2 linked regions of the Elephas maximus indicus genome follow. Each later gene encodes a partner of the first gene's protein in a complex. Links are inferred from orthologs where the notes say so. Each region holds a gene or a part of one and is shown in the gene's direction. Other genes may lie near its edges.

Region 1 (3,746 bases):
TTTAAAGCTATGGAAAATGAGCCCCTGAGGGCTAATTTACCCAAATTCACATAGCCAACAAATGGCAGTGGCAGGAGTCAAACCTACCAGGGCTTGACATCAAATTCCAAATTATACATAGAAGCAGCTACAGTCTAAGAAAAATTTGGATTTAAATTGGTTATGGAACCTTCCAAAAAAACCCAAAGCCCTGCGGAGGACTTAATGCCGACTCATAGCAACCCTATAGGGCGGAGCAGAACTGCCCCATGGGTTTCCAAAGGCTATAAATCTTTACGGAAGCAGATTACCACGTCTCTCTCACAAGCAGGGGCTGGTGGGTTCAAACCGCCCACCCTTCGCTTAGGAGCCAAGCACTTAACCACTACACCGCCAGGGCTCCTTTGGCACCTAAGTCATGTTAAACTCCTTGAGACGTGAATTACCTCAGTGTGAACATACGTATACCTTCCACCACCCTAGGTTAATCAGAACCTGGCACATTTTAAAGTACTGTACCAATGGGAGGGGGTAATAGGAACCAGGGCTTTGAACCAGTTCTTTCAGGTTCCAACCCCTGCTGAGAATATACAATTCCATCCCAGATATACTGAATACCCACGTGATTCTGAGGTATAACTTCTGGGGAACTTGTTAGAAACTCAAGTTCCTAAGGCCTCTTGCAATACACTACACGGAAAGAGTAACAGAAGGGAGGGCAGGTGGGCATTACCTGGGCGAGGCCGTCCCCACCTAGCCCTCTCCCCGACACTGCCTCCCACTAGCGTGGCGCGCGGGGAACCGCCTCCCGGATCCAGGAAGCGGAAGCTGAGTTGGCCGCCTGGGCCGAGAGGCGGGGCCCATACGCCGCCGCGGAGACCGCGGCCCGTAACCATGGAAACACGGGAGGCAGGGCCGGCCACGGGGGAAGCGCGACCTTTGACCTGCAGTTGAGGCTACGTCAGAGACTGCGGCCGAAGCCTGGACTGCAGACGGAAGTGAGACGGCGGCGGCGCCGGCGGTGGCGGCGGGTGGCGCGGCGGCAGCTATGGAGGTAATGGGGCGCGGGGCGCGGGGCTGGGACTGACGAACTCTGGTCCCGCGCAGAGTTGTGCCTTTGCTGCCGCTGCGATTTCGATCGTGGGGATCGGCCCCCCGGTATCAGGGGCACAGCAAACTCCCTCCTCGTCCCGGAGCCCCCAAAACATTGTCACTCTTGAGTACTTGTCCCCGTACAGTCCCTATTATATACTGTTTCCGCAGCTGCAGCCTTCCCTAGTTCTCTTTCTCACGGAGAGGATTTTCCTGCGCTTAATCCCACGAGAAGGGGTTTGCCTGAAAGGCTTCCACGCATTTCCTCTCAGACTAGTAAAAGTTATTCTGACAACCTGGGTTTGCTTTTGTTTTGCAGGAACCTGTTCAGGATGGGGTGGCTTCCCCAGCCACCCCTGGAACTGGGAAATCTAAGGTGAAGAGAATACTTGACTAGGAGACTCCCTGAAGAGTGGAAGGGTGATGAATTGGAAAACTTTGGCATGGGGAGTGGCGATAGCTTACTTAAATGAAATAGCCTTTTTCTAAGGGAATCTCTTTTAACTTGCATACCCACCCACTCCCGCCCCCCCCCCCGCCCCGCATATGGAAAGAGTTGGCTGTTTGTTTACTTCCTGCCGCTGGGTCAACACTAAGACATCTTGCAGTTTTTCATACATTACACAAAGCAGTCTAATTTATGAGGTTTTATATAGTGGTGTCCCTGGGTGATGTGAACGGCTAAGACACTGATAGTCCACCGAGAGATGCCTGGGAAGAAAGACCTAGCATCTACTTTGGGAAAATCAGCCCCTGAAATCCCTGTGGAGCACAGTTCTGTTCTGACCCACAAGGGGTTGCGCTGCGTCAGAGTATACTGCCAACTGGTGGTGGGGGAAAGAGCAGTAAGGAGAGTGGGCATCAAGGGACTCCACTCTTGTTGCTCTCTGTACTGGCAGAGGCTTTGAGCAAGTCAGTCTTTCTGGGCCTCTGTTCCTAAGCTGTGAAAAGAGAATATTGAATTAGGTAATTGCTCTGGTCCCATACTAATGTTAAATATTCAGTGACTCTAAAAGAAATGTGAGCATCTTAGTAGCTAAGGTTTACTGCGTGCATACTGCGTTTCAGACACTTGCCTAACCACCGAGTCACTTCACTTAAGCTTCATGGTAACCAAGAAATAGCTACTATGGTTATCCACATTTTACAGATGAGAAAACTGAGCCCATAGGAGTTAAATAACTTTCCCAAGTATTAAGGCCTAATTTTTGGCTTCCCTTAGTGGTGCAAACAGTTAATGCACCCAGCTACTAACCAAGAGGTTGGAGGTTCAAGTCCCCCCGGGCACCTCAGAAGAAAAGCCTGGCGATCTACTTCTAAAATAATCAGCCACTGAAAACCCTACGGAGCACAGTTCTACTCTGACATACTGAAACAACTCAGTAGCAATTGGTAGTAGCAGTAAGGTCTAATTTTTAGTTAAAACCTAAATGAAACTTCATTTATCTTGTTGCTGTAGATATGCATGCATTTTCATTCCGCCAAAGAAATTTTCAGCCTTGAATAGAATGAAATTATTTTATAGTTTGAAGGAACTTTTAGGTAGCCTTAGTCCCAACCGCCTACAATTAAAGGAGTCAAAACTCAGGACATTTCTTAGGCTATGACCACAGTATCTTTTTTTAAAAAGATAATTAAAGTTTTTTTTTTTTTTTTGACATTGTGTAGTAATTGATTAATACATAGTAGTTGCTTTTTTTAGTTGCTTAGTTAAGGAGCATTGGTAGCACGGTGGTTAAGCACTCAGCTGCTAATCAGAAGGTCAGAGGTTCAAGCCCACTGGCGGCTCCTCGGGAGAACAATGTGACAGTCTGCTTCCATGAAGATTTACAGCTTTGGAAGCCCTCTGTCCTGTGGGTTGTCATGAGTCGGAATCAACAGCAACTGGTTTGGCTTTTGGTATTAGTTGCTTAATTCATAATTAAGTTGAAATTGATTTGCTAATTTAAAAAAACGTGGAATAAAGTGTGTTTAGTTGGCATAAAAATTTATTCAATAGAATATTTTTGTTTTTAGGCAGACATTTTGTTTCCTCTTTGTGATACAGTAGAAACGTGAGTTATAACAAACTGGTAACATGACAACATTTTTCAGCTGGAAACATTGCCCAAAGAAGATCTCATCAAGTTTGCCAAGAAGCAGATGTTGCTAATACAGAAAGCTAAATCCAGGTGTACAGGTATTGGGCTGAAAGTGCTTATCTTGACCACCAACCTCATTTACTCACAGTTAAAAACAGTAGTTTTTTTTAGTAGTACATTGGCTAGTCATGTTTTCCAGTGATTCCAAATGCAGCCTTAGGTGGGGCGGTAGAAGCTAGTATTATTTAAAAATTCTAACCGTTTACATTTGATGTTTTTACTATGTCACAACTTTATAGTTACCTTTGAGTTATTAAAATAAAATGAGGGAGGAGGAGGATTAAAAAGTTTATTGAAGTTTTTTTTTTTTTAATAGGAATTATAGATTCTTCAGAATAAGGTGTTTTGTTTGTTTGTTTGTTTGTTTTCTCTAGTTAGTTGAAATATTAGCAGCACGGAATCATGAGCCCAGAGAAGTAAAAAGAGGCATCAAATAACGAAGTTTTCCATTCCTGAGTTTGCGAAGTATAGTTACTTGCTGAAGTTGATTGGTTCCCTCTTCAATTTCTTTTCTTTTTATTCCAAAAGAAAAAA
Region 2 (3,746 bases), on another chromosome or scaffold:
GCCTGCTTTAGGAGGAAAGGGAGAGCTTTAAAACATCCCCTTGCCCAGATATGGGCTCCAGCTCAGGCTCCGCCCCTAACGTTGACTGACTTTCTGCAAAGCTGTTCTCCTATGACGGTCTCAGTTTCACCACCTGTGAAATCAGGGGTTTGGTTTACATGAAGTCTTTTCTACCTTGGCGGAAGGTGGGCGTTACCCCTAGAGTTGTCAACGTGTGAGAAACAAGGGCTGGTAACAGAAAACCAAGCCAGGTCAGGCCAGGGAGTGGGTGGGCTAATCAATAAGCAGGCTGCAGCGCTTCAGTGGGGGAAAATAAGAAAACCTGGATTTCAAACCTGTCTGTGGGGATTTTTTAAAATTCATTTTCCTCCTTCTGGGCTTCAGTTTCCTCATCCGCAAATTGTGGAAGTTCTGCTACTGGCAGTTACGAAACCCCCCTGCGAGCAACGAGGGATGATGTACCTAGTAAGATGCCGTGCGGGGAATGATGATGAGAAAAAAGATGCAGAAGGGTGCAGGGCTAAATGGCAGATTTGAGGAAGGTGAGGGAGAGCTGAGGGCTCAAAAAAGAGGCACCTAAAGCTCCCCGAACCCACCCGCACATTGCTAGGGTCATTTCTACCTCTGCCCCGGCCTCGCCTCCGCCTCGCCTCGCCTTCCCTCCACTGAGGCTGCGACGCGCCACACTTCATATGGCCGCCGCGGCGCGATCCTTTCCATGGCACGAGGGCCGCGCCCACTCTTGCGCCGCCAGCTCCCTCCCGCTTCTGCCTGCCATGGGTCTGTTCTAACTGGCTCATCACGTAAGAGACGTAAGGGCCCCAAATCCCACCCCCTTATTTTCCGCTGGCTCCGCCCCAACTCCGCCTTCCTTCTCCCGATGGGCGTGGCAATCGAACCCTCCCTCGTCTCGCTGCTCATGGAGAAGCAGGGAGATCCGGCGAACCAGGAAGGCGCTGGCTGTGGCGCGCACGCGCACGCACGCACGCACGCACTCACGCACGCCGGCTGCCGAAGGGGTGGCAGGCTCGCGCCCGGGCTCGCCCCGCGCCGCGCCAGAGGCTCGCGCACTCAGCAGGTTGGGCTGCGGCGGCGGCGGAGGCGGAGGCGGCGGCGGCAGCGGCAGCTGGGGAGCTGAGGCGCTGCGTTTGAGCGGTCCCAGGCGCGTCTGCGGCTCCGGGTCCGTCACCCTCCGCCTCTTTCATCCCAGTCTTCGTGCCGGGTGCCGCGGCTGACAAGGGCGCTAACCTTGGGAACCCCGAGCACACCGGTGACTGCTTCCGACACCGCCCTCCTTCCCCTTCCAGCCGCGGGCCTCTCTAGGTGCTAGGCGACTCTGTGGGGAGGCGGCGGCGACGGCTCCGTGGCGTTCTGTTGAGGAGTCCTCACGTCCAGCCTTGCTTCTCCGCCGGGCCCTGCAGGGGCCGAGAGAGCGCGGCTTCTGCCCTTCCTCTCGCCTTTTTCGTCTGTCGGTTGGAGCAGCGTCGGCGCGGGAGGTCTCTGGACTGAGGCGGCGGTAGCTCCTCCGGCTCCATCATGTCCGCGGGCGGAGACTTCGGGAATCCGCTGAGGAAATTCAAGCTGGTGTTCCTGGGGGAGCAGAGCGGTGAGTGCGCGGCTCCCCCACTCCTGGCAGCTGGCCGCGGCTTCGCCGCACCGCCCCCAGTGCGGCCCTTCCGTCCGCGGAGGCTGCCTGCCGGCCTCGCGTTCGTGCTCCCTTCCACCCCCAGCCCTTCCCAGCGTTCGCCGACCCTGCCTTGCCCCCGGCTTCTCCTCGTCCTCATCCGTCGCTCGGCTTTTTACTCTTTATCTCCTGGCCCTTCGCTCCCCGACTCGGCCGCCTCCTTTCGCCGCAGCCCTTCCCTCTCTTCCCGATCTGCCCTCCCCAGTCCTCACCCCGCCCAGCCCCTGCCTCCTGTCTGTCCCTTTCTTCCTCCAGTCTCCGTCGTCTTCTCAACCCCAGCCCCCTTTCTTGAACCGCACCCGTAATTCCATGCTCTTTGCCCAGTTCATTTGCTCTGCAAGGCCTACCCCGAAAAGCCACACTACGGGGAACAGGCCCTTTGCAACCTTGGGCAAGGAGGGTGGGATCTGGGCGTTGTTTTCCCCAGGGGCTTGGCTCTGGGAAGTGCGGATCCTATAGAAGGTGGGAAATGGTGGTCGGAGAAAATTCTTGGATGGTTCTCACTTCCGTGGGGAATTAGTTTGGGTTATGGTAGATATCTGAATTGGAGGCGACTTGAAAATGGGGTGGCGGCGGTGGTGCGATTTTTGCCCCCCTTGGGTTGAGCTGTGGCTTGTCGGAAACCCCCATTTTCTTCTCTGACTTTCATCACTGACAATTCTTTTGGTAGTGTTGATGCTTTTCAGATCTCTGCCAGACGCTATGTCATGATCATTTTACTTGGAATTTTTTACCTCTCACCTCCCCTCTTTCTCGTTTCATCCTAAAGCGGTGACTGATTCTCATGGTGGTGCAGGCAGGAATTACTGGAAAACTATTAATTGTTCATTTCCTTTTCAGTATTTTCCGATTATATATTTAGGATTTCTGAGAGAAGAGGCTTGAGAGTAACGAGCATCTTTGTTTTGTAGGATTTCCTTTGGGGTTAGGGAGGAATGGAGTACGGTAGTAATAGATTCATCATCTAGTTATCGAAAGTAGATTTACATATGTTACATCGTTTTGGCTAAGTGACTCTTATGCTTGACATTTCATACTATCTGATGAGTGAAAATGTAATGTCATTTACCTGGTCAGGTTTCTGTTGTCACTACTGTATTTTGTATTAGATACAAGAACCTAATTTAGTGATGGTTGTCTCTAAAATTTCTTCTTGTAGTAATTCCAGTTTTGTGCTGTATTATGCCGACTTGACACTCGGCAATTAAGAGATTATCACCCTCATTTGTTTTTCTCACACGTTTCCTGACCATCTTTAAAAATTCAGACGTTGAGAGATTAGTTTCCCCAAATTATGTGTCATTGGGTACCTATTAGATGTCTTAGGTGAGGTTGTAGAAAACGTTAGTTATTTGTTTTGACTGGAAGGCAGGTACTGATGTAGATTCAGAGCTTTTATTAATACTTTGAACTATCTATACTAAGTTGTATGGCATTAGAGTAGGTTGACACTAGTTGCAAAATTGCCTCCAGTTGGACCTGAGCAATCAGTTTTCTCCTTTCACATATAGATGGTCTTTTTCCCCCTTACCAAGGAAAAATATAGCCTCTTTGCTTACGAGTTTTCCTGAAGCAAGTTGAAGCTTGCTTCTCTAGGTGAGTAACTTGATAGAACCTGTGGGGTTGATCCTGGTCTAGCCATTTTATGTCAGTTTCAGGACAGACCATACATAAAAGATAGCCTATAGGTCATTATTGATGAATTAGATCTAAAGTGCTTACTGTGCACTCTGGGGATGTTATTGTCTGCCTTATGTTATGATGCAGAGCTATTTAGTTTGCATGAAAAGCCCATTAATCTCTCATCCTAGGAAGATTTTAGTGTGAATAGAGATCTTACATATCAGCAGGTTTCCGGAGAAATTATGTTCTAATTTATAGTGCAGAGTTTTATGGCTTCTCTTTTCTTTCTTTAAACCTTTAATAACTTTTTCTCCCAAGTAATTCCTAAAGCCATCTTAGATTTTTTTTTTTAATAGACTTTTTTAGAACAGTTTTAGATTTACAGAAAAATTGAAAAGATAGTACAGAGGGTTCTTATGTCCTGCACCCAGTTTCCGCT

Evidence for each region. The genes of interacting proteins can lie anywhere in the genome.
Region 2: the proteins of GCC2 (region 1) and RAB6A are in contact, whole or in part, in a crystal structure (PDB 3BBP), measured with the Homo sapiens proteins. The link is inferred for Elephas maximus indicus from reciprocal best matches to the Homo sapiens genes GCC2 and RAB6A. Residues at the interface, in NP_852118.2 of Homo sapiens: Thr1585, Ile1588, Leu1589, Glu1591, Gln1592, Leu1595, Leu1596, Glu1599, Arg1602; in NP_942599.1 of Homo sapiens: Lys15, Ile46, Gly47, Ile48, Trp67, Arg74, Phe75, Ser77, Leu78, Ser81, Tyr82, Asp85.

What each region holds. Positions count from the first base shown.
Region 1 is NC_064835.1:77,370,397-77,374,142, reverse strand, and holds the start of GCC2 (GRIP and coiled-coil domain-containing protein 2), read left to right. Parts: upstream 1-941; 5' UTR 942-1,027; coding exon 1,028-1,033; intron 1,034-1,390; coding exon 1,391-1,447; intron 1,448-3,165; coding exon 3,166-3,250; intron 3,251-3,746. UniProt on the Homo sapiens protein: Golgin which probably tethers transport vesicles to the trans-Golgi network (TGN) and regulates vesicular transport between the endosomes and the Golgi.
Region 2 is NC_064825.1:48,734,124-48,737,869, forward strand, and holds the start of RAB6A (ras-related protein Rab-6A), read left to right. Parts: upstream 1-997; 5' UTR 998-1,536; coding exon 1,537-1,606; intron 1,607-3,746. Other genes in the region: MRPL48 (39S ribosomal protein L48, mitochondrial), read right to left, coding at 623-800. UniProt on the Homo sapiens protein: The small GTPases Rab are key regulators of intracellular membrane trafficking, from the formation of transport vesicles to their fusion with membranes.